3 linked regions of the Drosophila melanogaster genome follow. The gene in region 2 interacts genetically with the main gene of each other region. Each region holds a gene or a part of one and is shown on either strand. Other genes may lie near its edges.

What was found.
Region 1: of sima (region 2) and Hph, changing one suppresses a phenotype caused by changing the other (phenotypic suppression), as found in Drosophila melanogaster (one study listed by BioGRID).
Region 3: of sima (region 2) and Surf1, changing one suppresses a phenotype caused by changing the other (phenotypic suppression), as found in Drosophila melanogaster (one study listed by BioGRID).

The regions. Positions count from the first base shown.
Region 1 is NT_033777.3:5,251,690-5,262,721, reverse strand, and holds the start of Hph (HIF prolyl hydroxylase), read right to left. Parts: upstream 5,686-11,032; 5' UTR 5,158-5,685; coding exon 4,601-5,157; intron 4,387-4,600; exon of another isoform or gene 4,252-4,386; coding exon of another isoform or gene 3,577-4,251; exon of another isoform or gene 3,563-3,576; intron 197-3,562; exon of another isoform or gene 30-196; intron 1-29. Other genes in the region: Tim17a2, read left to right, coding at 3,577-4,251; Enoph (Enolase-phosphatase), read left to right, coding at 6,119-6,474, 6,784-7,040, 7,103-7,260; CG1113 (uncharacterized protein), read right to left, coding at 7,319-7,748, 7,803-8,847, 9,053-9,266.
Region 2 is NT_033777.3:30,057,612-30,068,500, reverse strand, and holds the start of sima (uncharacterized protein), read right to left. Parts: upstream 5,580-10,889; 5' UTR 5,424-5,579; coding exon 4,963-5,423; intron 1,427-4,962; coding exon 1,239-1,426; intron 1,178-1,238; coding exon 948-1,177; intron 889-947; coding exon 667-888; intron 604-666; coding exon 437-603; intron 188-436; coding exon 81-187; intron 1-80. Other genes in the region: CG7950 (uncharacterized protein), read right to left, coding at 10,566-10,889. UniProt on the Drosophila melanogaster protein: Functions as a transcriptional regulator of the adaptive response to hypoxia. Binds to core DNA sequence 5'-[AG]CGTG-3' within the hypoxia response element (HRE) of target gene promoters.
Region 3 is NT_037436.4:6,950,362-6,960,111, forward strand, and holds Surf1 (surfeit 1), read left to right. Parts: upstream 1-7,984; 5' UTR 7,985-8,071; coding exon 8,072-8,275; intron 8,276-8,343; coding exon 8,344-8,465; intron 8,466-8,527; coding exon 8,528-8,722; intron 8,723-8,778; coding exon 8,779-9,160; 3' UTR 9,161-9,225; downstream 9,226-9,750. Other genes in the region: CG10077 (uncharacterized protein), read right to left, coding at 1-841, 906-1,084, 3,412-4,808, 5,020-5,027; CG9948 (uncharacterized protein), read left to right, coding at 5,874-6,036, 6,093-6,586; Uqcc1 (Ubiquinol-cytochrome c reductase complex assembly factor 1), read right to left, coding at 6,642-6,923, 6,991-7,242, 7,302-7,490, 7,604-7,660. UniProt on the Drosophila melanogaster protein: Probably involved in the biogenesis of the COX complex.

The sequences.
Region 1 (11,032 bases), about 25 Mb from region 2:
CACGTCGGTCCGACTGCGCTAATTGTTTGATAAAGAACAACACATCCCGCCGCAGATTGAAATCTCGGAGCTAAGGCATTCGCTAAACTCTGATAACACGATTTGAACGATACGCTTGCGTATTCCCGGCACGTAGGCAAAACGCTCCGGACCTCCCGGCCGAACGGACCACCCACCCACTTCGGGCGATAAGAAGGTAGAAAATACTGCACCTGACAAAATCGATTTGCAACAGTAACATAGAAAAATGAAGGCTTTTATTTGTGTATCCAAGTAAAAAGAAAATATCATAACTATCGGGTGGGAAGTTATCTGAATTAGTTCATATGTTGCACTTATTAGCTACAACTGCACATCCAGGAACACAAAATAATTTACTGCACAGTGTGGGGTTGATGATGACTCAGCCGGATTGGCTGAAAGATAAAATTACGAACAAATTTCTATATGTGCTCCGATGTGTGCGGTTCATGTTTGTTGTATTCGTTAATGCCGGGGTGCAAAGCAAAATAAATAAGCGAGTATTAAAGATTTGGACGCAACAAACTGCGCAACAGAATAATTACAAAGTCAGCACCTCCGCCCGGAAGAATGCGAGTCCGGCTGCGATTGCAGGTGCTATCAGATCGGGCATGGGTGCCATATACACTATGCGGCCGGGCACGTAATGCCGAAGGTAAATAAATACTCGACTCGAGAGGTGCCATCTCGGAGCAGAATGTTAGCAATCCGGAGACAGTCAAATCGCAGGGCAATTACGAATCTCATCTGACAATGCGATGAGTTGAATGGGAAAACAAACTGTTTCTATTTTTAAACTTTTACGTCTGAGAATATCGGACAGCCTATGTAGTACGTGCAGACATCAATCTAAAACCAACACCAAGTGTTTGTCTCCTAAAGAGTCCTTTCCTGGTTCCCCATTGGATTGGAAGCTTTACCTTGAACACCTGTAATATTATATCATATGATTTGTGTATACTTTAACAGCAGCAGTTCCAAAATGAGCCATGGTTTGGCTAATACAATTATACTAATTCACCCAAGCGATCTAAGATGATCTAGCAGTGCTATTCAATGTTTTGATTTGTGTTATAGGACCTTTTGCGAGGTAACTAGTATAAGCTGTATATCAACAACCAATAAATCAGCTGCGAAGAAGCTTGAGGATCGCGAAAACCATAAACTTCAGCGCCATATGAGCGATATGTCATCAGCTGTGTCATGTTCTGCTGTTGATTCGTGAGGCTTCTCAGGAGTGGGCACGTAACCGCTTATCGTAATTGACTTGATGTGCAAGTGAAGACGATAGGGGGCTACGAGCAGGAGGATGCACCTAGTGGGGTATATTTGGGGCTATAGATTTCGCTCCGGGACAAACTGCAAACGCAACTTCAAGTGTGCGGTCGGCTAGCTAATCGCGGTGCTTGGTTCAGTTACATTTAATAACTAGTTATCAGGTGAAATCATGGCTAATCAAATTCAAGATAAGCTTGCACCAAAACGTAGAAAATCTATTCTACCGAGTCATTTGGATGTTTTCAATAAGATATTGAAAATAACTCATCAATATCTGAGTGGCATTTTTCTTGTACAAGTTTTTGCTCGATCTATGTACGTTGTCAAGAAACTGTTTACACACTGTGAAATAAGTTGAATTTTTGACTTTAAAGCTAAAAATTAAGGGTTTTTTGCTTAATTAAACGAAATTTTTTTAAATAATATAATTAAACAATATTTATTTTATTTATAAATCAAAAAACAAATTCAAAATATTAAATATACAAGAAAATAAACAACGAATTCCAAGTTTACACACTTTTAAGACTGTCAAGAAACTCTTTACACATTTTGTTTTCCTACTTTGTTTTGTTCTTTTTCTTAGAACGAACTCGATTTTTCCGTTATTTTTGGCTTTGCATTGCTTTTTACAACGCTTCTATTGAAATTTGTTGACTTTGCTTGTGAAATTTTGCTGATCAAACGTGCTTAAAGCGAATTATTAAATTTAATAAAATGCCTGGAAAGAGATTAACTTTTGAAGTTACCCAATTAATAAACTATAACCACCAGTTGGAAAAATCTTTTCCAGAATTAGTATAAATGTTTCCTGTATCCCGTAAGACCGTCTACAATGTTTTAAAAGGCTCGGAAAAAGAGGGCAGGCTTGAACCTAAGAGTGGTGGTGGGCGGAAAATTAAAATTAAAAAGCGTGTAGACTGCTTTATTATGCGAATAGTGATTGCGAACCCCCGAATCTCGGTCAGATCACTTGCTCTAGATATCAGGCAAGAATGTCACCTAGCTGTGTCACACGAAACTGTGCGCCAAGTCATCCTACGCCATAGGTACTCTTCAAGAGTTGCAAGGAAAAACCCTTTGCTATCAGATGCCAATATTGAAAAGCGTCATTTATTCGCAGTGAGCATGATGGATCATGCGGAAGAGTACTGGGATGACGTCATATTTGGTGACGAAACAAAAATGATGCTCTTTTATAACGACGGGCCAAGCAGAGTATGGCGCAAACCGTTGAGTGCGCTAGAAAAACAAAATATCATTCCAACGATAAAATTTGGAAAAATGTCACTGTTGGTTTGGGGCTGTATCACCAGCCGTAGAGTGGGAAAACTAGCCTTAATTGAGGGCACAATAATTGCCGTGCAATATCTAGGAATTTTAAAAAACAAATTTGAAGGCCAGTGCAGAAAAATTTGATCTAGTTAGCAACAACAAGCCAAATTTTATATTTTAAGAGGACATGATCAGAAACATAAAGAGTGCAATGTACGCACCTGGCGCCCTTATAACTGTGGTAAAGTGATCGATACGCCCCCTCAGAGTCCTGATCTGAACCCCATTGAAAATTTGTGGACCTACTTAAAGAAGAAGGTGGCAAAAAGGAACCTAAAACACAACAACAGCTTATGACTGTAATAGTCGAAGAGTGTGAAAAGATCCCGTTTGAATATGACCTGCAAAAACTTGTCCAATCCATGAAAAAAGGGCTTCAACTTGTAGCTAAAGCCAATGGGGAACATACTACATACCAAAACTTTTAAAATTTTAATAAAATAATTTAAAAATTTAGGATTAAACATCGATTTAGTGTTTTGTGTAAAGAGTTTCTTGACAGTCTCAAAAGTGTTTAAACTTGGAATTTGTTGTTTTTTTTCTTGTATATTTAATATTTTTAATTTGTTTTTTGATTTATAAGTAAAATAAATATTGTTTAATTATATTTTATAAAAAAAATGCGTTTAATTAAGCAAAAAACCTTTAATTTTTAGCTTTAAAGTCAAAAATTCAACTTATTTCACAGTGTGTAAACAGTTTCTTGACAAACTGTATATTTCGTTTGTAGGACCATTGGTAAATATTTGTATCTAGTTAGAACGGACGTAAAAGTCGTAAGGCAACATTCTCAAAGTTATGTATAATCTATAAACACACGTTTTTAATCAAAGGCCATATTGGTCAAAAGCTGATAGCACATATTCGCAAAACAAGGAAAGTTCACTACAAATCAAGTTTTGAATTAATTACGGATTCTTTTGGTCAGTACATCACCCGAACATGGAGTACAATCGCCAGCCGTGTCCCATCAGGATTGTAGAGGATTGCGGGTGCGCCTTTATGATGGGCACCATGGGAGGATCGTTGTTTCAGTACCTCAAGGGATTCCGAAACGCTCCGTCCGGTCTTCGACGTGGCTTGCACGGCGGTATAGAATCGGTGAGGTTGCGGACACCGGCCATAGCCGGCAGCTTTGCCATTTGGGGCGCCACCTTCAGCACGGTGGACTGCGTCATGGTCTCGTACCGCCAGAGGGAGGATTCCTGGAACGCGATTGTCAGCGGAGCGGCCACTGGCGGAATTTTAGCCGCCCGGAATGGAATTCGAGCCATGGCCAACAGTGCCTTTGTGGGCTGCCTCGTTTTAGCCATGCTCGAAGGAGCTGGAGCAGCAGTGGCTACGATTTATGCATCGGATGGAGGAGTCAAAGCAGAGGAGTCCCTAATCACTGTTGACCAGCAAATGCAGAGACCCCAGTGGGAGACATCCGTTGCTGATTCGAACCTAACTGGGGCGGAGTTAGAGCGGGTGTTGGATGAATGTCGGGCATACAGGGCACACAACAAGATGCAGCAGCCTATGCGTTCGGACGCAGTGGAGGGTAAGGAACTGGGGCAACTGATGAAGCCAATGCACTCGTTGGTCGATCTGGTAAAGCTGGCCGAAATTGTCTGATAGAAAAGCTTTTAAGGTTTTAAGTCAACCTCCCATGCTTCTTCCAAATTAAGTGTTAATTCGATATTCAGCGTTAATCTTATATTATTTTTAAAAGCCCAGTAGGTACAAGGAATGATTTTCTATCTCATGGAGAATATTTTTCCATCTTCAATAAAAGATCAGCTGATATTTGATTGCATCTAATAAAATACTATGGCACTATGCAGGCTCAAAAGAGCTTCTAAGAAAAATATATCTCTTCTAGCGTGCCACCATGAGCAGTATTATAGTATTATACATTTTTAACTTATGTTTTAGCATAAAACTGTTGAAACTGAAACATCTGACCTGTCCACTGACGACCTACCTTCCTGATCCCATGAAGCTGGCATCCGCCAGACCGATTTGATAGCTGGAGCTCTTTTCGCCATTATGGTGATGATGCTGGTGCTGCTGCTGCCTTTGACCTGTTTCCGTTTCCGCAGCTGCAGCCTTCTCCTGGCTGCCCGGCTGCCCGAGGAGATTCAGCAGGTTGTCTACCTCGGCGGGCCAACTCTGCGCCTGGTGGGCAGGCGTCATCATCTGGGCGGTGGAGCAGTTGGCGCCGGCGCCGCTGCATTCCAGATTGGCAGATGCCACAGCTTGTTGCAGTTGCTGGATCTGCTGCCGCTGCTGCTGCTTATTGTTGTTGCTGCTGTTGAGCTTTTGGCGGGTCAGGAGGCGGCACTCGGTGCGGTGGTCGGGCCAATGGAGATGCTGGTGGGCGGGGGAGCAGTAGTAGACGGCCTTGCACTTGGCGCAGCGCAGTAGTTGCTGCTGAGTGCCGCAGATGGAGCAGCGCGGCGGGTCCATGGCCGATTTGGATGCGGAGTGGGAGCCGGAATGGCTTGCTGAATCCCTGACCTTTCCGCGACCCCTGCTCATTGCATTTTGCGGGAGAGGAGAGCCAAAGGCGACGACCGATTTTAACCTTGACAGCTCTCCCAGCTTTTTTTACCCCACCTCACCTACGCCAACTGAGGCAATCACACACACACACGCTCGCAGATTATGGCTATTTGTTATCAATGCGAATTACGGCACTCGGGCGTTTTAGCCAACATTTCACTTAAGACTGTTTGTGCTTATTTTAATCACGTAGGCCACCGAATTTGCCAAATAAACAAAAAAAAACGCACATACAACGCACACACACAGACGCACGGGCAGCTATATGTGCATTGTTGTTGGTTTTTCCTGCGAGTATTCTCTTTTGTAAGACGTTTTAGGGTTGCAACTTTTAACCCTATTGACTGTTTTATACCCTGCCTTGAGCTCTATTACGCCCCTTGTTTATAAAAACCGCGTAAACTGTGCAAAAAAAGGGAAAAATTCTTAACTCAGCACTAAAATTTCTTTTTGATAGCGATGGGCGTCGACCGATACTTAGCGTGCAGCGATTGACATGTACTCGTTGTACAGCACTATTACCGGCGGGCAGTAGGTATCGATAGCTGAACGAGCCAACGTTAGTGGTGATTATTTTATACTGGCACTTATATACTAACGGTAATCAAAGCTTTTTATTTCGCTATTTTTATTTACTAGCTTTAATATTTAATTGCACAAGATTCGGAAACAAAAAGCTATTGGGAAAATTAACTCAAAGCGGCCATTAACCCCATAAGAATTACTTTAATACAACTTCAGTCGATCGTTTATCAATTAAGCAAGGTCTCTAAGAATGGCAAATACCCTTATCGTCTATTCCAATACATTTATATATATATATTTTAAAGTCGATAGTCGATAGCGCGATGTGCCATCTCCATTATCAAAACTAAACAGATGCTGGGCGGAAAATCAACTGGTTCCTCGTGATAACTTAATCCCACTAATAAGCGCAATGTCGTCCAGTGAACGAGTGGCCAAAGTGGTGCTGGTGGACATCGAGGGCACCACCACTTCGATTAGCTTTGTGCACGATGTCCTGTTTCCCTACGCCAAGCAGAATGTGGAAAAGTTCCTGAGGGATTCGTGGGAAGAAGATGATATAAAGCGTATTGTCCAGGATCTACAGCAAGTGCCCCAGTATGCGGACTACAAGGCCCTGTTAAGTGGTCCACCTACGGAAGTGGATGTAGATCTGATTGCAGGCTTTGTGCGCTATTTAATTGATCAGGATCTGAAGGTCACGCCAATGAAAACGCTGCAGGGCTTGATTTGGGCGCAGGGCTACGCTAATGGAGAGCTGAAGGGCCAGTAAGTTCCCCATTCAATATTCTCCTATCATGGCCATATAAGTTTTACAATCTGAACTCTAGAAGGTTATCAAAGAAAAGGCTTACTTAACGTCTGTTCCCAAAAATAATTTGGGTGTCTTTCTGAGATCCAATTATACAGCTTGGTGATTTTTTAAATATGTATGCTAGCTATATTCTCCGCACGGGAATGTTTAACTTTTGCTGATTTCAATAGTTATCAGATAACATTCAACATAGTAACCAAAAGTACAACGCAACAACTCATTATTATTGATAATTAATTAATTATCTATAAATGTTATTATAGTGTATACGAAGACGTCCCTGCAGCTTTTGAGGCTTGGCGTGCTGCTGGCCTCCAGATTGCAGTCTACTCCAGCGGCAGTGTGGCTGCCCAAAAGCTGATATTCGGTCATAGTTTGGCCGGGAACCTGCAGCCGTACTTGAGTGCTTATTTCGACACCCATGTGGGCCACAAACAGGAACAGCAGTCCTATAAAAACATTGCCAAGCAATTGAAGGAGGACCCGAAGCAGATACTCTTTCTCACGGATATTCCAGGAGGTGAGTGGCTGATCCACACGAATCCTCATCCGTAACATTTTTAATGTGAAATTATATTTTAGAAGCGGCCGCCGCTCGCTGTGCGGGCTTGCAAGCCATAATTCTGAAGCGTCCTGGAAACGCCGCCCTAGCAGACGATCAAAAAACTGGATTCGAGTTGATTCCGGACTTTAAACCACTTCACAACCTGAAAGTTCCGGTCAATAAATCCCAGGCTTAGGTCATTCCAAAAAAGTATACATATATTGTGACTATGTGCTTGGGAATTAGGTGAATCTCTAGAGGAAAGCTCGATCTGCGCTGCACAGGTCGTCACCGCTGTCGTGGCTGGGCGTCTCGGTCGTGAGCCCCTGCGGCCGTCGTTCGGACCGCTTGCTTCGTTGAGACTGCCTCGAACAGGACTTTTCTGAGCCATAGACCTTACGCAGTTGCTGCAGCTTAGTATCCGCATCGGGAACAGGAAACTCTGACTTTTTCTTCCTACGTTGCCGGCTCCCCTCGCACGAATGACGCAGTTCCTCGGTCCGGCAGGTGTGGGTGAGCTTGCCCACTTCTGGACCCCAGAACGTGGGTCCTTCCAGAAGAAGGGGAGCGGATTTGACCCGTTGACGCATCATCTCCATATGCAGTTCGTACTGACGCTCCTGAAAAGCCTGCTCTGCCTTGCGAGTGGCCAACCGAATGGATAGCAGTGCCTTGTGGGATTCGCTAAAGAAAGAACACTGAATGTGTGCGAAACTTAATATTTGGTGAACTACTCACTTCAAGGACAGTGATTTCCAAGCCGGCGTTTTCCTCACCTCCCAATCGAATTGCGGACGAGGATCATGATAAGTGCAGTTGTTCTTCAGCTCCTTAACCTTCTTCCTAGATACTTCAGCCCTCAAAGTTGCCGCTAGATTAGGACGAGATACCGGATGCAACGGGGACACACTGGGCGTTCTCCTCTGGACCGGTTCCTCCGGCAACTCATAGATGCTCAGCGGTGGTAGTGGCTTCTCATCCTTTACGCTAGACCCTGGCTTTGGTTTCCTTACTCTTCCGCGTCTTCCTCGACCTCTTGCTGCGCTGGAAGCACTACTACTTCGCTTCGACGAGGTGGTGGGTGATTGAATCTGTATCTTGGGAATTTCCTCCTGCTTGCTGAGTGGGAAATAGTTGCTTCGCGCAGGCTGAGCTAGTTTGGAAGGCTTCGAATGAGCCTCTAAGGCAATCCCTTGAAGATCATTGACACTAAAGCACCTGCGCAGCATTTCCCTTCGGCACTTGGCCCGTTCTGCCGTGTGCTGGCCAGGATTGGCAGTCTTCTGGCAGCGGTTCTGCGTCTGACTTTGCTTGTTGGTTTGTGTTTGAGTTCCGTTGCTGCTCGTGGACTTTGGCCTGCGGAACTCCGCTTCGAAGCTCTTAAGGGACCTCTTGAAATCCGCAACCTCCACTGCAAAGTCCTCCTTAAAACTTTTCAGACGACTCAAGTCCCTGAGGCACTGGTCGTACTCGTCGCTTAGACAACTGGAATTGGGAGTATGGACAACTGGGCGGGTAGCGCATCTATCCTGTTGGCCGGGGATCACTAAGATTGCTGGCGGAGGAACAGGATCCAGCACCAAAGGACGTTTCTTTATCTTTTTCCCCTTGGAAGGCCGCTTTTTAGACTTTCCATGACCCACAGAACAGCTGCTGACACTGGCACTTCGCTCCACAGTTGGAGCAGTTGCTGCCTGAGATCGCAGTTCACGGCTGGTGCTTCGCAGGCTCTCCAGAGTTGAGTAGAACTCAACTCGGTGCAGGTGCTTCACATCACGATAGTCTAGGGAAAGCAAAATAATTGTGGTGAGTATGTGTCTTTCTAATTATCCATCTTTCTTATTTTAAATCATTGCACATTCATTCAAAGACTAATGAAGGACAAAACTCAAGGTAAGTTGAATTTGAAACGGAAGAGCAAGAAATCCTTTAAATACTAACCCCGAAGATTACATTTCAAGGTGCAGACATTTCCAAGCTGAACTCACCAGGTATACTGTCGTAGAATTTAGCTAGGGACCTGACCCCCATCTGGCTGCTCCACGCAGGTGTCTCTGCCTCTGGCTGCGAAATGTGAGCCTGGTCGGTCGGCTTCTTTCCACCAAGGGAGCTGAGCTTGGGCCGATTGTATACCGGAGCCGGACAGTTATTGCACGGATCGATGGGCACTTTCACACAGGAATTCAGATAGTGCGAGCTCATGCTGCGGGAAGCTGAAGTGTTCCTATTGGAAAATCTTTAATTGTTGCAAACGCGCTTTATCAATACCAAGCACAACATACTGTTGTTGCCAGCGGTAACCTCCCACTGTTTGTTTTTGTGCACTTCCGTTTTGGGCACACCATTCGCCAAGTCACGCACCGCATTGCTGTCCTGGTTTCGGATGCACTTCGTCTGCGCAACCGCAAGGGCTGGGAAAATCTGAGTTCAGGTCCCAGTAAGCTAGATACCCTTCCCCAGAATGTATTAATTGATTGATATACTGATGTTTGTGTGAAAGTTCCGCAGACCAAGTTGTAAAGAAAATCAAAAAAATATTTTGTGGTCCTAACAAGTCATACACCAATCAAGCGGTAGTTAACCAAGTTTTAATATGATATGGTTTTAAAATAAATAAGTAAGTAAGGAGTTTTTTATTTATTCAAATTCATTACAAGTTAGGGAATTAAATCAAATCGTACTGAGTGCTTAAATGGGGAATCAATCAATGCGATTTTAAGCAAGAATTTTGTATAATTTTTGCCACTTACCAGCACCAATTAAAGAAATTATGTTTTTTGGCCTTTTTTTAGATTTCGCGTGCTCCTTGGGCTACGCTTTAATTGATGAATTACTTGCTATGATCGGACAGCAACTATGCAGACTTTCATTATCGTTTATTTGTATATATGTAGTAGGATGGTACTAAGTGGTCTTAAAATTTATGGTTCAATGAATACAAATTCTTTAATAAATTATACGTTAATCGTTGAAAAGGGTGTTAAGGGTAGATAGATACGCTTCATATCCTATAAATTCTTGATCAGGGTCAAAAGCCTAGTCGATCTGGCCGTGATCATCTGTCAATATGACCGCCTCGATCTCGATCTCACTAAAGAAAGTTGAGATTAGGGATGCAGACGTAGACGCATCGCAAGTTTTTTTCCCGCATTGTTACCACGCCCACTCTAAAGCCAGCCCACAAACCGAACAATACGGCGTCGCCCACACTTTTAAATGTTATTTATTATGAGCCTTATAAATTTCTATCGACTTGCCTCGCCCACTCGAACTCCCAGAAACTTAGCGAAACTGTCCAGCCCACACTTTTTCGTTTTCTTATTAGTAACGATAAATTTTCCTTGTCTATTGCTATTGATTCGCCACAGAAATGTTTTGTATGCAATCCCACAGTTGAGTTACGGGTATCTGATAGTCGAGGAACAAATAATTACCTGTTAAGAATTTGGTGTTATTTTTATACCCTTGCAAAAGATAATGAAATTTTATTGACAAATTTTTTACAACATTAAGGGAATTTATTTTTCATCTTCGACTGTTGCCGAATATTCCCTGCGTGCCATAACTTTACACCTTATATAATTCCCGATATGGACATGGCTAGATCGAATCTCCCAATGATTCTCATCTTAAATACATAATCCTTTTGGGTGGAAAACATAGTACATCCTGCCTTGGTCCTACTCTCGCCGAATTGGTAATCATAACCACCTCCTCGTAGGTAACTATTAGTAAACAAATATATAAAAAGATCAAAAAATTCAAATGAAGCGGTAAATAAGCAAACGAAATATCGATGAGCATGAACTAAAAATCGAATTCGAAGACCAAAAGGAGCTAACCTAAAATCCAAGGCTATCGATACTTACCGAGCGCACATCGATAGCAAGAAATCGACACAATGAGTAACAATCGACATCGGTCCACCCCTGTCTCGCAGAAAACAAAGACCAAAAACCACCAAACAG
Region 2 (10,889 bases):
AAAGTAATTAGTTTAGCATTAGTTAGCTGTAGTTTGTTTTAATGAGTCGCGAGTTTTCGGAGTTGGACGATGCCACTTACCGCTCTTGAAGGTGGCCATCAGGCGTTCGGAATCTGCTCCATGCTGGCACGAAAACAAAGAGGTGTCAAGTAGATCCTTGGGCGAATATCCCAGTAAGTCATGCATCCTGAAATCAAAGCAGGGAACAAATGAGAATTAATGTTACTATCCTCTAGACGGGTTCCCATTTTGATGCTTTTCTAGGCTGCTTAATATGTTTACGTAATCTATTAATTTGTGCTTGTTCATTATGAGTAAGTAAATGATAGTTAAGTGCCACTTTTGGCAGAGCAATTAGTCAATCCCTCAAAAAGAAACCTAAGCAGTTATGGTTTTTAAAATGGGATTTGCGTCTTTAATTCTGTATGTATCTCACTTGTCATCCACATAGGTGAAACGCATATCCAGGGAGTGTTTGGTAAGGAAGGTGCTAGTTCCCAACGGAATCTCAATGTTCGAAGGATGCGGAATTGGTCGGCCAATGGCCATCAGCAGACGTTCGCCCTTTGCATTGACCACCAAGTGTCCCGTGATGTGAATGACCTGAAAACCCCAATAAGGCATGGGTTAGTTGGTGCTATGGTGTCTCAAACTCATTTAGCTCACCTTATACGAAGCGCTCTTGATGTTGATGCTTCGTCCACGACTGGTCAAGGTGCACTTCAAGCGCACAAACAGATCCCGGTGATGGGTGCTCACTCCAGAGTTCTGCTGCGGCTCATCCTTGACCTTCTGGGCAAGTTCACGCTTTAGGCTGAGAGCCTCCTTGATCTCGGCGTGATCGCACTGGTGCGAGTACTCCCAGATCTGTTGGCCAAGTGTGTCAATCTGCGCAAAGTTGAGAGCAAGTTAGAATCTTCTTCAATGAAGTATTTGGATACATTTACCTTGGTGATGCCCAGATACTCGACTACGTTTTCGGACACGTAGGTGATGTCTCCCTCGTGGGACAAGACCAACAGGAATCCGTCCATGGTCTGTTTGAGGAGCTCTCTGGCCTCAGCTCCGTTGAGCCAATCCTCAGTGCCCACTTCCAGCTTGGGCTTGACTTCCTGCTGATCCTCTGCAGTTTCAATGTCCTGCTTGATGTCATCATTGCAGTCGCGCAAGCTGGGCACTGAAATAAGTAATATATTAGATGGTGCTAACAAAGATTTCACATCCTAAGGGAAACTCACCGAACTGCAGCATTTCGCGAATCTTGAGGAAAGCGATGGTGATCCTCATCACGGAGGCCTTGTCCAGTTGGTTGACATCGTCGGTTTTCAATGGCAAAGCAGCCGAGAGTTCCATGAATATCTCTGTCTCCTTGGAGCGACGACATCTAGCCGCATCGCGAGACTTTTCCTTGCGTTTTTCATTGTTCCTGCAAAGATCGATCGGATGGAAAATTAGCATAAGCTCAAAACGAGCACGTACGCCAATGATCAGTGGGAAAAGGGGGGATCTAGCACGGGGGAGGCTGCCTGAAATATGCGTGCATTTGCATGGCTGCACTTTTATACCCGTTTGATTGCTTCTGATTCAATTCACGCGGCCAGAGCTCGCAATTTTTCAATTAAGCAAAACGCTTGTAATTTTCGCGTTTGTTGCCAGGTCGAGCGAAAAAACAAAAGTCGATCGACACGGCGCCAAAGTTCTCGGCAGCTATTCCTAGCCGTCTTTTCGAAAAACACTAACTAATAACAAATAAATAAATAAAGATGAAGATCAAAGTAAATGCTGGTAATCAAAATACTACTGCAGAACAATAAATTATATTCAATTCTAATAAAGCCTCATATCTGAAAAGAATCTCAATGTCGCGACTTTGTAAAAGTATTTTTCTTTTCAACGATGCTGATAAGGAATTTCTACGCATTCCTCATCTACAGAGTCTTAAAAAACATTCGAAATAAATCCAATATTGCCTAGAGGATCCTGACATACAGAGACGACCTCCCTTGGGATGGATACCTGTGCATTCCGAGCTGGCAGAAGAGCCCGGGGACTTAGATAGTTTATAACGTCTGTTTCGGATTCCGAGAATAGCCGGCAGTCACACGTTCCACTGATAAAAAGTGGCTAAGTTGCCTTGGCACCAATTTTCGTGGTGGTGGTCTTTTGGAATATTTCGCCAGGGGATTGACAAAACACCGATGATTTGGCAATTAGCGACTCTGCAGAGTTAGTTGTCTTCGCTGGATGAGTAAGTCCCATTTAAACCCTGGGTATCGACTCGTCTACATTGGCGACGTGTTTTAATCGGCAACCAAGCAGGCAAATCGATCGTACACACTTGTAGGACGACAGAGCACTGACCTCACACACACGACTGACACTATCTTTATGCCAATACGAGTATATTGCGGGAAATTCTAAGAAAAGACGGATGGCCCTCCCGCGGGACTGCGGAAAAACTGTAGTCTGCCAAGAAAATCTCTTGAGTAGCCGCATGCAAGAACATAACTCGTGGCTCTTAATATTTTCTTTATTATCGATATAGTGGGCGAACTTGTATAATCCACGGGTGACGCCCATTTCAGCACGTATGTACATTTATTTCCTGGCATTTTGTTCAAAATTTGCCAACGCTGCTTTATTGATCCGCTGGGATGAAAAAAGACCTGAACACGTCAGGTGGTTCACTTGGGAAAATCTGCCCGGTAACAACGCGAAAATATCAAACTTTTTTGTTAACAAACCCTAAGTACCGCCTGTCAACGGAGGAGTCGCAATCATCAAAAGTCCATCATATCAGCCGACAAAGTCACAGTACAATATGATCTATTGTCAGTCTGCCGCCTGTCTAATAATGGCTTAAGTATCTATTAAAAACAGTATTCCCGTTTTCTTTTACTGTAAGTAAATAAATTGAATAAATCGAAGCAAACTACTTAGTTGTTGAACATAATCTTCTATTATGACATATTTAAATATGAGATAGGACCCCACTAATCGATCGATTGTAAACAGAGGAAATCTTAACATAAACAAATGCTAAACTTGACTTTGCACTCGAAAGAATTTCTATTATTAAAAGAGTATTCTGAACGCCCAGATAAAACGTTGATTAGGAAACTCTGTGAAAGTGAAGAAACAATGCATTCAAATAAATCAAAAATAAATAAAACAGAAACCAGTTTAGATAAGAGGGCTTTTCATTGTCAATCAACCAACTGATGGATGGAAACCAAAGTTTGAAGCGAAACTCGAATGGCTGCTCAAATAATTATTATATAGTATTATATTACTTCGCCAGCAAAGTGAATACTAATATAGGCGTAGACCCGTGGATTTCTATATATATTATATATGCATTAATAAACACAAATCCGATAGTTGCTAGCTCGTGGCCCATAGAAAGCGGCGGAGAGTGACTTTGAATTGCATGCTAATGGCCTGCTTAAATGGTGGGATATTCGCCGGGGGGGTGGGGTTTTGGTTTGGGAGGTATGCACATACATATATATATTTTCGATCGGCCCCATTGTCTGTTCATTAGAACAGAGGCAAGTACGGCATGTTAAATATTCTGCCTGCGCCAGCAGAATTGCCTTGTTATTGCCGCTGGTGCTGCTGCTGTTGTTGTTGCTAAGTATTTCCGCTCCAAAGCAGCTCAAAACACTGAACAAAATTAAGCTATAATATTGAAAGCACACCTTAATATGTGTACTACCCTTCCGTATGATGATTATAATGATGTAGTATGCTGATCTTAAGATACCATTTTCCGCACTTTGTGTATGAAATGAGTTTGAATATGCAAACACCACGATCGCCGCACGTGGCCATCTAAGTCCTGCTGGCTTATCCGACAACACCTTAGGATACTGACCCGCTGTTGTTTGAGTTTGAATTGCGAGCATTGCGAAATGTTGGCCAAGCTACCTCCAAGTGCGCCGTATCTCCGGGCGAGATATCAGCGAAAACACATAAAATACGACTCGAAGTGCTAATGCCAAGTTCATGGGACAGTAAATCGAGGCGCAACAGCGGGTCAGGGATGTTTGGTCTCTTCTTGGGAGCACCATATTGTGGGTGGAGTTCTTCGGGCAGCGCCGTCCTGCAATTGCGTCAGTTTGGTTTCGGCTCATTAGCATGGAGATGGGCCAGCCGAATTTGGCTTAAACGTGTGCAAAACGTAAATAAACCAAATCCGACTACCATTACGAAAACATTTGCTTGCTGCGCACGTTGCATGCAAAGTTTTCAAGGAGGTGAAGTCCAGGGAAAGGGGCTGTAATCTGCGTCAATCGCCAGATAATCGTATACATCAACCAGATGGATTGTGAAACCTTCAGCAGACCCCTAACGATAACTCCTTGGGAAATACCCCACATAAAATCATCGGCGGCAGATAACAATTACACAACAGCACAACTGACAAGCAATTTACTATTTCCACGCAACAATCGAAGTGAGAGAAAAAGTCTTTTCCAGCCCACAATCTTATAAACGGTACCTCTCTTGGGAATAACCCACCGAACCTTGACTCATACGACACCTCTCTCGCGCCATAGTTCCGTCCCCCTCGCCCTATCTTTTGCTGCGTATCTAAATATTATTATAAAAGCGATTCACAAATAAGCATAGATAAGTGCAGCGCCGTTTGCTTTCGGCTCGGGTTTTACAATGGAACACGGCCAATTTTCTAGGAGCTCAGCTCGTTCAGGTGCCTCCAGGAAAATGTAAATCGCTAGCGGCATTCGGCCACCGATTCTAACTGGTTTTTGTTTTGTTTACTTGAATGAGCTAGAGCTCTCCACAGTTATGTAACAACAATTATTAAGCAAAATTGTGTAAATATTCGTACTTGAATACTATTTGATAATGAGATTAAGGAATACCCTTCGTGAAAAACGCAAAATCACAGAATTACCCAAAACAACAAATTGACCAACCACTTTGGTCGTCACTCACATGAAATCCTCGATGTCGACAAACTGGGAGAACTGGCAAGGTTGAGTGTTCGTGGGCGCGTAGCCATAGCAGTAGGCGTAGCTCCAGGGGCGGCTTTCGCGACAGGGCGTGGCCACGTTCAGAAGCGATCCCCTCTGGCGATAGAAGGCGTCCTGGGGCTGCTGCTGATGGTACGGATGGTACCTTTGCATCCCAGTGGAGGACATATTGGGGCCGAGCATAGCGCCCACGAAGGGTTGGCTTCCGGGAGCAGGGCCATTGTAGAATGACCCGTTGCCAAAGTTCACAGTGGGTTCATTGATGGGCATTGGCCCAAAAGCTGGGCCATTTCTGCTCAGCTGCCGCTGCCGCTGCGGCTTGGAATCGCACTCGTAGAAACTAGAACCGGGGATCACATCTTCGCCGTAGAACGAAATGTCGCCGGTACACGAAAAATCGCAGCTCTCGAAGGAATTAAACATTGAGTGCGCTGGAATCCGGCTAAGCCCATCGATGATGAACACACACACGCGTGCGATAAGAGCTGATAGTGTTTTGATTTGGCCACAACTTCACTGCTCCGGATATTTTGGTAGAACACGACGTACGGGAGTTCGAGCGCTAAATGAGCGAAAGGTTCCATAGCCTCGAAGCCATCATATTTATACCTGGGCAGCCGCACCAAAAAAAATCGCAAAAGAGCGGAGAGCCGACGTGAACGTCATATTCCGTGTGCTATCAGACAAGTTTGCCTATCCGGACAAGTGCGCTCCGGCCGGAGTGATAAGATAAAGTCCGGTCCGCCCGCCTCGTAGAAGCATTCAGGTGGCAGGGAGCCAGCGCTTCGGTTCTGCCCAATGGGACGATAACAGCGAATCGAGTGAGTGGCGGATTCAAATTAGAGCCATATAAATTATGTCAGTGCGCCCCACTTCAGTCGATAATTGGCTCGGACCATATAGTCTACTTTGCAGCGACGCCGGAAAATTTCCGCACGTCCAGGACCCATTTTCCGCCCATTTCCCTCGCTCACAAAGTGCAGTGCACGGCAAAGTCATGTTATAATTTTAGAATCTCTGCACCGAGAAAACAGTGCCACTCACTTCGAAGTGAAAATTTGATATAATATTCCAAAATTTTGAGTATTTAACCGCAGAACTGATGAACCATTTTTAGGTATTTCGAAAACTAACCAAAATTCGCACACACAAAATGAGAAGAAATATTAGAGAATTGATCTTTTTCACTGTGCGAGAAAAGCTGCTTGGATGACTAAATACTATCAGACTTATCCATGATTTCCCTAGTCGGCCGATAAGAACTATAACATAGGAGTTAAATATTTGGATTAGTTTGGCAAACAGCACGGAAAGTGAAACGAGATAAGGGAAGCTAGTTCCCCAGACCAAGCAAACGTAATCAAATCGCAATGTAATCAGCTCGTGGAGAAGGCAAAGGAACAGGCAGGGTCAACTTAAATCACTACGATAACCCCTTGTTTACCTGTTTATGCTACACCCGTCTATCACTAAACTATTTCGATGTTTAAATGTATTTCATATAAAAAAACAGTAAAAGTAGTTATTAACATTGTGAGCTTCTTGGGCTTCTCTTTTTGCAGATTGCCAGGAGTCCTTGTGATCGTTAGCTATGGTCTCATCTTGCATCATTCAAGGACTATCTTATAGAAGGTCTGTCAATCCTTTAGGTTGCTACAGTAACACCCGACGACGACCAATTAATTCGAAAGATGTCGTAAGAAGTTCATTGAGTTGTGGCAAGACCAGTGGTTAATACTTAATCCAAAGGAATAGCTGTTTACAACAGAACATCGTAAAGATCTTATCCATTCCCAAGAAAGAAGTTCCTTTGTTCTTGTTAATGTTGTTAGCAAAAAAATGACTTCCAAACAGGTTTCGCAATAATCTTAATCCGAAATTTTTGCTCATTTCACAAAACCTGTGGGGAATTTTCAGCGACTGATTCCAATTTATCGCCTTAAATATAAATTTAAACTTTCCCTGCCAGCAATTGCCGAATCATAACTTACACCGAATGCGATGCATATAGACCTCACACGCAACTGAACAAACGAAAAAGATTCGGAAGCTGCGCTACCTTCACGCTGTCTCCCTCACTCCGCTTATATACGTCTCTCTCGCTGCATCAAGTTCAATTTCATACAGAGAAAGAAAATTAATAGACAAATATATTGAATATGGTACAGTAAGACTAATTTATCTTTTTCTAAGAGAGCGACTGAACTTCGGATTTTACTATTTGAAATTTGATTACCAGTTATTTTTTTCAGTGCTCCAGTAGCAAGCAAGAGTGTAAGCATGTAAGGAGAAGAAGGAGAAGATCAACAATAACTCCACGAGCCTAATACTTGAATACAATGCCATCCATCTTTCTCTTTCTCCCTACATATACAATATATATGTAGTAGCACCATAACACCCCCTCGGGCGTTTCCATCCTCCCCGGATCGTCACATTTTTAGTTCGATTGCGCAAAAAGTAGGTCGTCGTGGCCAGACATGAAACAACAACAACAACAACAATAACAACAGCAGGGCATATCATTTAAATATTTTACAATACACACATGCTTGTGTGTAAGCGTGTTTTACTTTTGTGCGTTTCTCTGCGTTGGTATTGAAATTTATTTATTGCCGACTTGTTTTTAAGTTTATTCATTAGCTTCTTGGCGCAGGCCTAACAGCTTATAGAAATAACGTAAATAGAAAAACAAACATGAAAAATCTTGATTCAGATTCTTTCCTCCTCCAAATTCCGCCAACCAAGTCAACTTGTAATAATTCACTTTTATTGAGGTCACACCGTAGCTGCAGTTACGATCTGTTCAAGATCGCGTGTGCTGCAATCGAAAGAGTCGACCGATAGGCAAAAGGTTAGCGATGAACAATCGGAAAAATCGATGTTCAAAATGTTTGGGAAAATGCAATAAGACAATCTAAATTGACGTATTTCACATGGTGAGACGACTTAAGTCAATTGTTTTCATGTGTCACACTGCAAAATACATTGGAACCAGTTTGGAACAAATGGGAAAGACTCGATTTGTCGGTCAATGGGTCTAATCGAAGCTAGAGCGCATTTTGAAAATGGTTATAGAACCGCTTTTCGGCTTTTCCACACTTATTTTACTGCAGTTTTACGGTAGTCACGTAGGCCAAAGCGAAACTTTGTTTCAATCCAATGTAAATGTCTTGAGTGAAACATAAACTTATCGGTTTATGGGCTTATAAAATAAATAAATTTAAGTATTCGGAGGGGCGTGGACCAAAAACGAAAATAAAACAAAGCCAACAAAACGAAACACGAGGAAAAAAAACGGGTTGATCTTGGAGCAGGGGGGGCAGCATAATCGAACAGGTTTTCCTCATTGTGTTTTGGGTTTTCGCCTCACTTAAAAATAACCCATAAGTGCGTAAGGAAAAAGAGAACAATGCACTCGTCTAAAAATAAATCGCATTCAACGGGGGGGCTTGTCTTTGTGAGCCCTTTAAGGATAAACCTTCTCAAGATAGCAACAAGTGTTTTCAGGCCTCTCTTCTTGCCGCAATGGGCACTCATTCTCCTATCGTATACCCCCTAGATATCATATTCCACAGCGGAAACCAACCATGCATATGCAAACTGAACGATTTCGGTTCGTCTCGACTTTTGTCTTTGAAAGCCTGAAGGTCGCGGGTCTCGGCCATTGGATTCGCCGTCGCCATCGATCGTATAATAATTGCCGCGAATGCAAAAATTAGTTGAACGCGTGATTAATGATTGGCTTTCCATTATATCCCAATGCCTGTTTCGTCAATTAGTGACGCCCATTGAGGGAAGTTCACAAATTCCAGCCAGGCGGGAATTGAAATTCATTAAGTGAAATGCAATTCGCTCCCGTAAGGGTTAAAAGCGCTCTTATTTTTGGCTCAAAATCAGGCAGTAAGGTTGACTCATCTATAAGATACTGATTGCATACGAAACCCATGAGGACCTCAACGAAAGAAAATCAATCAATGTTGATAATTAATTAATTAATAGAGTGGAAATATAAATTAAATGTCAAGACTGAAATGTATGTGTAAGTTAGGTGTCCAGTTTGTGAAAATAAACGAATAAACATTGTACGTAAGGGATTCCCGATTGGCACTAGATTCCATTGATGTATCAACATTCTGATTCCAGATTGTTAAAATAAACGAAATACCGCATACGCACTAGGAAATTGAGAAGAAACGCGAGAAGCGGCGGATGGCAACGAAAGCCGCGACGAGCAATAATATCGCGACGAAGAGCGGGCGAAAAAGAAAGCAGGCGCTTATGCAATGGGCAAACAAGCGATCTAGGCAGATCCAACCAACGGATGGGATTGTAGATCGGCGGTATCCGGATTGCAGATTCGTGTGACTCACCTTCTTTTCTCCTTTGGTTTGCCGCTGGCCGTGAGATTGGTTTTTGGGGCGCCAGGAGATGGGGAGCCAACGGACGAAGATGGTGGGGAGGACGAGAACGAAGAGGAACAGGAGGAGGAGGAGGCGGAGGTGTTGGTGACCACCGCTTGGGACTGCTTCTGTTTCTCGGCCGCCGCTTCGATTGTGTCAATTAATGAAACCATTGTGTCTCCGGATTTCAAAGTGCGGCAGCATTCAAAAGATCTGCCGATGTGGAGGTTCCTGTTTTCCTTATCGCGAGTTTTTCCAGCACTTTTTGAGACTCTTCGTTGTTGTTTTCTATTATTTATCGCTGTTACTTTCGTTGTTTTCCTATGTATGAAAACTATTGTGCGCTTGTATTGGTTTCTGCGTTTGTATTGTTGTCACTACGCACACACACACTCGCACACACTATAACTCTGTTTTCCTGTTAAACCGTTATTATTTAATCACTTTTACACCGTTCACCTCGATTAACTTTGTGTATATCTGATTTTTGAGCCACAAAAAACAAAACACAAGGTTATATTATTATTTCACTGCTGTTGCTGTTGTTGTCGTTGTTATTGTGGTTGTAGTCTCAACTGGCCAATTGCACTTTGCTTTTTTCGATAATTCGGATATTTTTGTTATTGCACCTTGAAGTTCTGCACCGACTTGATGTTGAATTCGCGTTTAAGCATCTCACAAACGCGATTTATCCGCAATATATGCATTTTACACTGCGCCTACAGCATTTTTCCTTTCCACACGAAATCTTAATACGCTTTTATTTTTCCGTTTTCTTTGATTGCTGCTTCGTAAACAGTGTGGCAGCAGGGTGGAAAAATACTGCCAACGAGGTGGGAGCGCTTCGAGTATATACCAGAAATACACAACATATGGAAATAACGGCCTATTGGCTACAGTGAATACAAGATACATTTACATTTTTTTATTTGTGTATTTCGCTATTTGTAAAAAAAGCGAGAATTTAATTGAGAAAACGAGTATCTTTTATTTCTGAAATAAGCACTATGCTGTTTCAACAATATCTCTGTTAATTCCAGACTATCTGGCTGATAAATGTTTCCCAGTCACGATCGATAGTGTGGGGATGGATTGAAGTTAATGACAAGTTTTATTTATTTTGTACGAAGTCACACCTAGCTCTTATCTTATGTACTCCCACCTAAGCCTTGGGCACCACTGAACTGCTATTGGGGGACACCAGCTCATCGCCGCCTCCGTTGTTGCCCACATCCGCCAGCGGATCCGCGTTCTGGCCACCAACTGAACCGGCATCCGTGTCCAAGGCCTCGCTCAAGCCATCATCGTCGTCGTCATCACCGCCAGATTTGTTGTACACGGTGGGGTACTTCTGGAAACAGTCGCGCATCTTGGTGAAGGCATCGTAGCAGTCCGATCCCTTGGGATCGGCGGTGCTGTTCTGGAAGCAGGAAAATGCCTCACGGAAATCGACGCCACAGGGACCGGTGGCCATGCCGCCGAGGCA
Region 3 (9,750 bases), on a different chromosome or scaffold from region 2:
AGGCAAAGATGTCGCCGCCGTTCGCCATCATATAGGGTGCCGCCTGCGTGGGCACTGCGTACGGGGCGCGGTAAGAGCTGGCCACCGCTGCAGCTCCTCCGTTGAGCGACACGGTTGCCATGCTGGAGGACATTGAAGAGTACTGGCCATAGGCCTGTGGCTGTTGCATTTGCTGCTGCTGCTGTTGCTGCTGGGGAGTTTGCAACTGTTGTTGCTGTTGCTGCTGGGCCGCCGCCGCCTGCTGCTGGTTCATCGCTGGTGGTGGCATGTTGGCAAAGTTCATGTTGTAGGGCGAGAAACGGGAGCGCTTCTGATCAACTCCGTAGTTTGCAGCCGTCATCGCCGCCTGCACGGATGCATCAGGAAGTAGGTGTTGCTGCTGGGCAGCCTGAGCCTGTTGCTGCTGCTGGTGCTGCGCCTGTGGCGGTCCAGATCCCGGACCATTCTGCGGCTTGTTGGGCTCGAAGCAAGCAGCATTGGGATTGAAACGAGAGAAGGGCACTCCGCCGTTCTGCTGCTGCTGCTGCTGCTGTTGTCCCTGGTAGCCACCGCCTCCCTGGCCACGGTAGCCGCCCTGTCCGCCCTGATTCGGCGGAGAAGTGCGCGGCTTCTGATCGAAGCGTGGTGGTCCGCCAGCGCTGCCGCCGTTAAAGGAGTTGCGATTCATGGTGGCGCCGGGACCATTGTTGTTGCGGTAGTTGTTGCCGCCATTGTATCCACCGCCCATCTGGGGATTGCGGCCCTGATAGCCATTGCCGCCACGGTAGCCGCCACCCATGCCGCCACCGCGCTTGTTGTAGCCACCGTTCATGGCCATGTTCATCAGTTTGGGATTGATGGTCTGCAAACGGAGGAGGTGAGTAAATTTGCCATCGAAAGGATTGAAAGCTACGAGGAGCACTCACCTGGTTGGCCTCGCGCAGCACCTGGATCAAGTCGTTGGCCTTGTTGGCGTTGGAATGCGTAAACAGGGTGTAGGCGGTGCCGGTGTTATTGGATCGTCCGGTGCGTCCAATGCGATGAACGTAGTCCTCCGAGTTCGAAGGATAATCGTAGTTGATCACAAACTTGACATCGTCAACGTCTGTTTGATTTCAATAATATTTTTCATTTCGAATTTGAAAATTGAAGAATGTGAAAAGAAGCGTTAAAATTATCAAATCGAAGCAATGCGTCGAAAATAGGAATCTTTCTCAATACTCAAGAAACTATTTAACAAAAACAAAAAACTTATTTGTGTGCTTGTGTGAGTGGTGTCCGTTTCTGTCTTGGTGTGTGTTTTCATGTCATGGTATTGGTATTAGTGGTTGTTTGTGTCGGTGCGATCATTTGTTTTTCTTGTTAAGTTTGTTAATAGAACTTAAAATACATTTTTGATCGAATTGTCGAATGGATTTTGTCGGTTGGTGTTAGATCGGTTTAAATTTAAATTTTTTTTTTTTGGTATGGTTTTGTACTTTGAACAAAAATTTCGCCATCAATACTATTAGCGTATATTAATAACAATACATCTTTGGCAAATAGACATATGTTCTTTTTATACTGCAGAAATGTGGACCTCGACCTTTTCTTCTCATCATACTTTCTTTTATATCATTTTTGAATACACAAATCGTAATATAAATGTTTAAGCTTAATGCATACAAGAGACGGCTTGATTAAAATTAACATTATAAATAAGAGATGTACATAAATGTGAATGAATGATCAAAGCTTATGATAGAAGGGTGCTGATTTGGTTTAAAAGGAGGAACATACTTCGATGGAAGGGAAGGGGGAACGAGGATGCGGGCATATTGCTATGATTAGGAAGAAATAAATTAGCCTAGTACTTACCCTGGCGATCTAGGGTTAGAATATGGGATTAGAATTAGGCTTACGAATAAGAGTCCCTGGAGATGGTGTCCTCGCAACTGGGCCGTGATGATGGAGATCCCACGGATCTCCGCAATGCTAGAAACTTATAACTCAACCCTCAACTTGTATATATAGCTTTTCTCTTTAACTGCTTTGTGTATATAACTTTTTAACTTTGAACGGGTTTTTTTCTTTTTTGTCTAGTTTTGCCATTTGAAAAATCGAAGTCCATTTCATAAAGTGCTGATGATATTTTTGTTCACACACAAATTTAGGTATTATACATAGAGTAAGGAGCGACGTAATATAGTATACTAGGTACTTTATGATACATAAATAAGCTACAGAAAATTATCATCAGTCAACAAATACTTGGGCCGCAAAATGTTGCAAATGTTACTCAACACATTAGTTACTTCACATTGTTCTAGAAACTAAATAAAAAAAAAACTTAAGATATATATATATAGTTATAGTTAAGGCACGGTTTAATCGCTTTGGATTAAAGGTTAATTTCTTTTGGGTGCACTGAGATTACTCTTTAGTTTGGGTTTTTTGTTTTAAGATTATTTTGCTGGCCATTGACTCCTTGACTGACAGTAAATCGCTTTTTTACAATTAAGTTACTCAAAATGTGATTGACGAGACACAACTAAAAACTATGAGCAAGAGAGCAACAAACGAACTAAAAGTAACAACATCATATAACCAGCAATGCATGGAGAACAAACACATTCCCCTCATTATTTGAGCCCACACCTTTTCTTCGGATTCGTAGAATCATTCAGCAAACTAAAGGGTTCAATAAGTTAGACTTAATGGTCCACCCGGCATCGAACCACTCGAAAATGATTGAAAAATAATAAATGACAATTTTTCGGCTGCCTACAGATTTGAACATGCAATTTAAAAAAAAAATACAAGCGGTCCTTTCCGGTTTTCACGTTTACCAAATAACATTCTTTGATAGATGGTAACCAGTAATGAGCTCATTTAACTCCGCATAGCTACCCAAAACTTCATTTAAAATATAACATAAAATAAAAATTTGTTTACAAATATTTAACCCCCATATCTAACCCCAGTTAATTTCGAACACAGCTAGGCGAAGATTTGCGCTAGAGCTCTTAGATTAGGCTACTGTTTACCCAGCTTAATTAAATTAAAATGAATACAAACAAAAAACTATGAGTATTATTTACACACTGAAGCAAGCGAAGATTCCATCAATGGACCCCAAAATGGGAATCATGCGCTTTCAGCTTCAAATCGTGAATAGCTTGTGAAATCCGGAACAGACCCGAAACGAAAAACCTCCAAAGTTCTGGAAACAGAGCGGAAGGAAGAGCGAAGAGGCTGGGCGGTGTTGGCCGATTCATCGCTGACGGATCGCTGAGACCAGACGAACCAGGAAGGCGTCGACGACGAATCACAAAATAATGAATGAAACCCCACGGGATGCTGATTGATCCACAGGCAACAATTGCTTGGTTACGGAGAGAAAAAACGAAAGTTGGCCCCATTTAGGGCCCCACAAAGGCTACGTATACTCACCGAGTCCGCGGGCAGCCACATCGGTGGCCACCAGTATCGAGTGCCGGCCATTGCGGAAGCTCGAGAGCACAAAGTCGCGCTCCTGCTGCGACTTATCGCCGTGGATGGCGCATGCGCGCCAGCCCTGGCGGGAGATATTGCGCGTGATCTCGTCCACACGCTTCTTGGTTTCCACGAAAATGATGGTCTTGGTCTCGTTCTCCGCCGAGATGTCTGTTAGCAGCTTGATCAGCTTCATCAATTTCTCATTCTCATCGCACACGTCCACGATCTGGAGGATGTTGTGATTGGCGCTCAGCGAAAGCGAACCAATGTTCACCTGTATGTAGTTATTAAGGAATTCCTCGGCCAGCTGGCGCACCTCTTTGGGCCAGGTAGCTGACCACATGAGTACCTGACGGTCCGGTCGGATCTGCTGCATGATCTTTCTGATCTGGGGCTCGAAGCCCATGTCGAGCATACGATCGGCCTCGTCAAGCACCAGATAGGTGCATCTCTTCAACGAGGTGGTGCCGCGCTCGAGGAAATCAATTAGGCGACCTGGTGTGGCAATTACAATCTCCACGCCGCGCTCCAAATCCCTAGCCTGCTGTCCCTTGGGCGCTCCACCAAAGATGCAAGTGTTGCGCACATGCGTGTTGCTGCCAAACTCAATGGCTACCTGCTGGATCTGCTGGGCCAACTCTCTAGTGGGAGCCAGGACCAGGGCGATGGGTCCATCACCGCGCTCCAGGCGCGGCTGGTTATTGATGTGCACCACCGCCGGCAGAACATACGCCAAGGTCTTGCCCGATCCGGTCTGGGCCACGCCCACCAGATCCCGTCCACTCATAGCAATGGGCCAACCCTGGGCTTGAATGGCCGTTGGCTTGGCGAAACCCTGCTTACGGATCTCGTTCATCACGTAATCGGGAAAGCCGCCCTCCTCGAATTCAATACTGGGTGTGGGCACCTGATCGCCCTTGATGGTGATCTCATTGCTGGTGAGGAAGGTCTCTGTTTCACCGACAGTCCTGGCCAGCACCGAATCGCACGGCTTGTAAAAGTTCTTGCGGAATGGCGTAAGATTCACCTCAGACCAAACGATCTTGGGCAAGTGAGCGCCATGATTGGAAGAGCGCTGGCCCCCGTTCTGACCACCGAATCCATCCTGGTTGCGTGGTCCGCCGGGTCCCATGCTAGGACCACCACCGTTCATGCGTCGCTGTCCACCGTTGGCGGGTCCATGACCATTGAAACCTGGGTATGGGGCCGAGCGATTGCGCTGGAACATGCCCGCTCCGCCGGGTCCGCCACCGGGAGCACCACCGCCCATGCGATTGGGCACCATACCGCCGGCTAGGCCACCAGCTCCTCCGCCGCCACCGCCTCCGAAGGCGTTCATCTGTCCGTTGTACCTGCGACGAGCGTTTTGTGCCATAAAATTAGAATTTTGAGCCCTTTAATGCGTTGCCAAAATGTTGAAATTTACACGAAGCGACCTTTTTTTATGTAATTTTCATTTTTTACTGCCATTTTGAATTTATTGATTTTCGACACTCGGCCCCTGGCCGCATGCTAAACCGAAATTTGGGCTTAAAAAATGTGTGCCTGTGTTTCAATACTCACATGTTCATTGCTGGTGTGATGTAAGTGGAAATATAGCTGGCCAAAGTATAGTTTTTTCGGTCACTTTTACAATTTTTCACTCCACAATTTTTTCAGCTTCTACGTCGTCAATAGAGCTGTGGAAAAAATCGGTGTTAATATCGATTGGTTCGATAGGTTAGGTTTTCTGGAAACATCGATTGAATTTTCTAGAAACGATCACAACGAATAGGGAAAAATGTCAAAATATTTGTTAGTAGGAAACTTTTAATATATAAATAATTATTGTGAACGTTTCTAATAATAACAAATTAAATAAAAATAATAACTGAAAAGAATATGGAACACTATTAAGAGCACTTTAGAGCACTATGGTTGCTAGTTTGTAGTTACTTCGTTGTCTAACCAGTATTTTTTTAATGCGGCACCGGTAATTAACAATAAGAACTATTAATTTTTTAAGCAAAACAAAGACGTCTGATATTGTTTGTCTGGAACCTATCGGGTAAAGCAACTTCGATAATAATGGTCAGCAAGAAAAATGTGACCAGCCTATAGAACGACCCAAAAACCAAAGTGTGGACATAAATTGGAATATTACAGTGATCGCTCAATGTAGTTAACCTGTAAATTTCTATCTGTAAAGTAATAACTAATAAACAAGGTTCTAATAATGCAGTTAAAATATAATTTATTATTATGTAATTTCCCTTCATTTGTTAAGTATCTTAAGCCCGCAATTATGACATACAATACGTGCCAAATGGTTTTCGCTTAATCGTAGCTCTGCTGTACTTCATAAGGTAAATAAACATGGCTCAAGCAAGGGATTCTTAATTATCAAGTTCAAGCTAGTTTAATTCAATTTGGTAGCCATGCGCACCAGTTACAAGAAAAACAGACCTTTCGACTTCAAGCTAATTGATCTGGTGGAACCCAATCCTGTGCTCTATAAGAGATCTGGACTCTCGAACTACGATGCCATGAAGGCGAAAACCGATATCTGGGCTCGCATAGCCGAGATGATGGGCTGTGATGGTAAGTCAGCTAATAAAAGAATAAGATATATATATTTAAAGTTATAATCCTCTTAGTGGACTTCTGCCTGATGCGCTGGAACAATCTGCACTATCAGTTTCGCAAGGAGTTTCGCCGCGCGGACACCAGTGGATCCACCTGGCCGTACCTGGAACGCCTGCGATTTTTGGCCGAGATCCAGCCGCCCTCCAAAGTGAAAACCAAACCCAAAACAAACAAACAGGAGGCGACCATCCAGACGGAAACTCCTGTGCAATTTTTGTGGGACACTTTTGAGGATGGGGATGTTCCACAGCAGTCGAGTACGTTCATAATCGAGGAGGTCATCGAGGAGCCCAGTGAACAGATCATCCAAGAGGAAATCATCTACGAGGAACAAGAGCCCGCTGAAATAATCTCGCCCAGAAGCAGCTTTCTCCAGATGGACCAAATACTGGCCCAACTAAAGGAACCGCAGCGGAGAAGGGCAGAACGAAGGATTACAGCATTTCTGCTCAAGTGCCAGCTGCGTGCCTTGAGTAATCAGTCCGTGGAGGACCTTAGCATCTAGTTTCCAGTTCACATACTCTCAAACTTTATTTTTAAAAAACAGAATATAACTAAGATTAAACCTTGCACTTGTCCAATTCCAACCATGCCACTTTCGGCTTGACAATGAACTGATCGCGCGGCAAACTGTCCAGCATGCTGGCCTGCTGGCGGACGTACTTCACCAGTCGCTCGATCTGCGCGTAATCATCACAGTTCATCTCGAAGAAGCGGCGCCACAAGGCGCAGGCCAAAACCCGATCGTCGGACATGATGCCCTCGTCGTAGGCGATTAGGGCCGCTTGGAACTGCTCGGATAAGGTCTCGATTTGCTGACGGGTGCGTGAAGGATTGTGAGCCTGTTGGGAAACACATATGAAGAGCATAAAGATTATATATATAAAGGTGAACTAAAGTAAAACCTACTCCCAATTTCTTGGCGCGTGTGTTAACATCTCCCCACATCGCCTCCACAATGCAGTTGCGCAGGAAGCGTCCATCCTCGCCCGTTTCGGAGCCCTCGGCCATGGAGCGCATCAGGAGTAGCCAAACATGCAGTTCGGTGACCAAGAACCAGGAGTTAAAGGTATTGGGCAGATTGAAGTCGCGGAAAAAGGTCACATAGTTGATCTTGTCGGCGACGCTTTCGTACAGCAGATGACTGGTTACCTTGAGGCGCTGAAATGGGATCACTTCGATGAATATTAATCAAATGGGCAAAGTAATCCGAGTCCTACCGCCTTTGTGTTCGGTGTGAAGCCCACTTTGTTGAGCACTCTCTTCAGAATACCGCCTTCTGCGGCTTCCGCTGTGCCGGGTTTCGTTTTATTGGTATTATCCACAACGCCGGTGGATGAACACAAGCGGCATGGCTGCTCCAGCAGTCCCAGTATCGCTGGCCTGTGCTTATACGTATGTTGTGTTGCCTATAATATGTTTAATTTAAAAATTTTATATCCGTTTATATAAGAGTTGATGGCGGTGCATTCGGATGACCGTGTTTTGACTAAATAAAGTACAACCCCTGCTTTAAACATACCCATGCGGTTCTCGCTAGGCCGCCGGCCAGTCTTGCAACTGCACGAGTGCACTGCATTCTTAAATGTATCCTAAATTTACTAAAACAAAATCGTTTAAAAAATCCAATTGCACGCGACAACAGACTAAAACAGCTGATCGTAACGGGGCTGCCAACTTGGGTATAACGACATGTTAACAGTGACTTGCTAACATATGATTAACAGTAACAGATACAAATCTTTGTAAAGAAAGAAAAATGTTTTTTTTTTTGCATGTGAAAAGTAATAACTATTACTTTATTTTTTATATACTTTAAACCTTTGCAGTCTTAATTCATAAAATCAAGAAGAGCTTACATTCGGAAGTGGTGTGACCGCATGAAGTTATTATCCGTTCATAACAGTGCAAAACGGTCTTACTATCAACTTCCAGTTGGAAATGTAAATAAATAAATAAATAGAAAATTTAGAGCAAAATAAAAGAAAGTATGATACGTTTGGGGAACCAAATGTGCCGGCAAGTGGCCTTTAATATACAGACTGTATTCCGAAACCCGGGCACCGCGAACAATCCGAGATTAATCACCAGAAAGATGACACAACAGCGACCGCCGGTGAATTGGACAACCAGTATTCCCAATCAGGCGGCGAAGGACAAGGAGAAGATAGCTCCTTTGGGATGGTTCCTCCTGGTGGGTAGACACCAACTCCTCTACCTATACACACAACTAATCCTTGTTGTCCATTAACCAATCCCCAGCTCATACCGGCCACCACTTTTGGCTTGGGCTGCTGGCAAGTGAAGCGCAAGATTTGGAAGGAGCAGTTGATCAAGGATCTCAACAAGCAGCTGAGCACGGCGCCTGTGGCTCTACCAGACGAGTAGGTTTGCCCACATATTCTCCACTATATACCCACCCACTATAGTGTATTCCCTCCTGTAGTCTCACTGACTTGGCCCAAATGGAGTACCGCCTGGTCAAGATCCGTGGACGTTTCCTTCACGACAAGGAGATGCGCCTGGGTCCGAGATCGCTGATACGGCCCGATGGCGTGGAAACCCAAGGAGGACTCTTCTCGCAGCGCGACTCGGGCAATGGCTATCTAATAGTAACCCCTTTTCAGCTGGCAGATAGAGAGTAAGTTGTGCTCAAGGAAATCCCATAGAATCATCTTAATATCGTTTCGCCCCCAGCGACATAGTGCTCGTCAATCGGGGCTGGGTGTCCCGCAAGCAAGTGGAGCCGGAAACCAGGCCGCTGGGCCAACAACAGGCGGAAGTGGAGCTCACCGCCGTCGTGCGCAAAGGAGAGGCGCGTCCGCAGTTCACACCCGACCACAAGGGCAATGTCTATCTCTATCGCGACTTGGCGCGCATGTGCGCCGCCACAGGAGCAGCTCCTGTGTTCCTGGACGCCGTCTACGATCCGCAAACGGCTGCACATGCTCCAATCGGTGGACAGACACGCGTTACCCTGCGCAACGATCATCTGTCGTACCTGGTGACCTGGTTCAGTCTATCGGCGGCCACCTCCTTTTTGTGGTACCGCCAAATAGTCAAGAGGATACCCTTCTGAAAAAGGGAACCCAAATCAAACGCACTGTTGTTATTTTTATTATAAAAATTTACATGCTCTCGTGTAAATGCTGGTTTTTATTGGCCCGCCGCAGGAGGGGATTATTGTCCTGCTGGGACTTAATATTGCAACTACCGATCCTCGAGTGGCGGATCGACAGGGGAATAGGAATAGGAATATGAATACAAATACGGTTCGAGGGTTTCCCTTGCGGGTGTGCCTAGTTGAATACTTTAACTATTTAGAAACACACTCGTTAGTTTGGGTCGATATGGGGAAAGCTACATAATATTATATTGTCTGATCAAAAATAGTTACTACGTTTTATAACTTTGTGGTTAATCAATCATTGCCTTATGTTGTTCAAATAAGTAATTCGCTTTCTAGTTATATACAGAAATGTTTTAAAAGCTTATATCCTTTAGAAACTAATATACAAAATGCAAGAATTCAACTTTACTTTTCACTTAAAACTGACAGAGTCCTCTGATGATTTGAAACGATTCTATTCTCCTAAACATGATTCAACTTAAGCTTAATCGACCCAATCTAACATACACTCAGCTACAGAAAAGAATACGGATATTTAC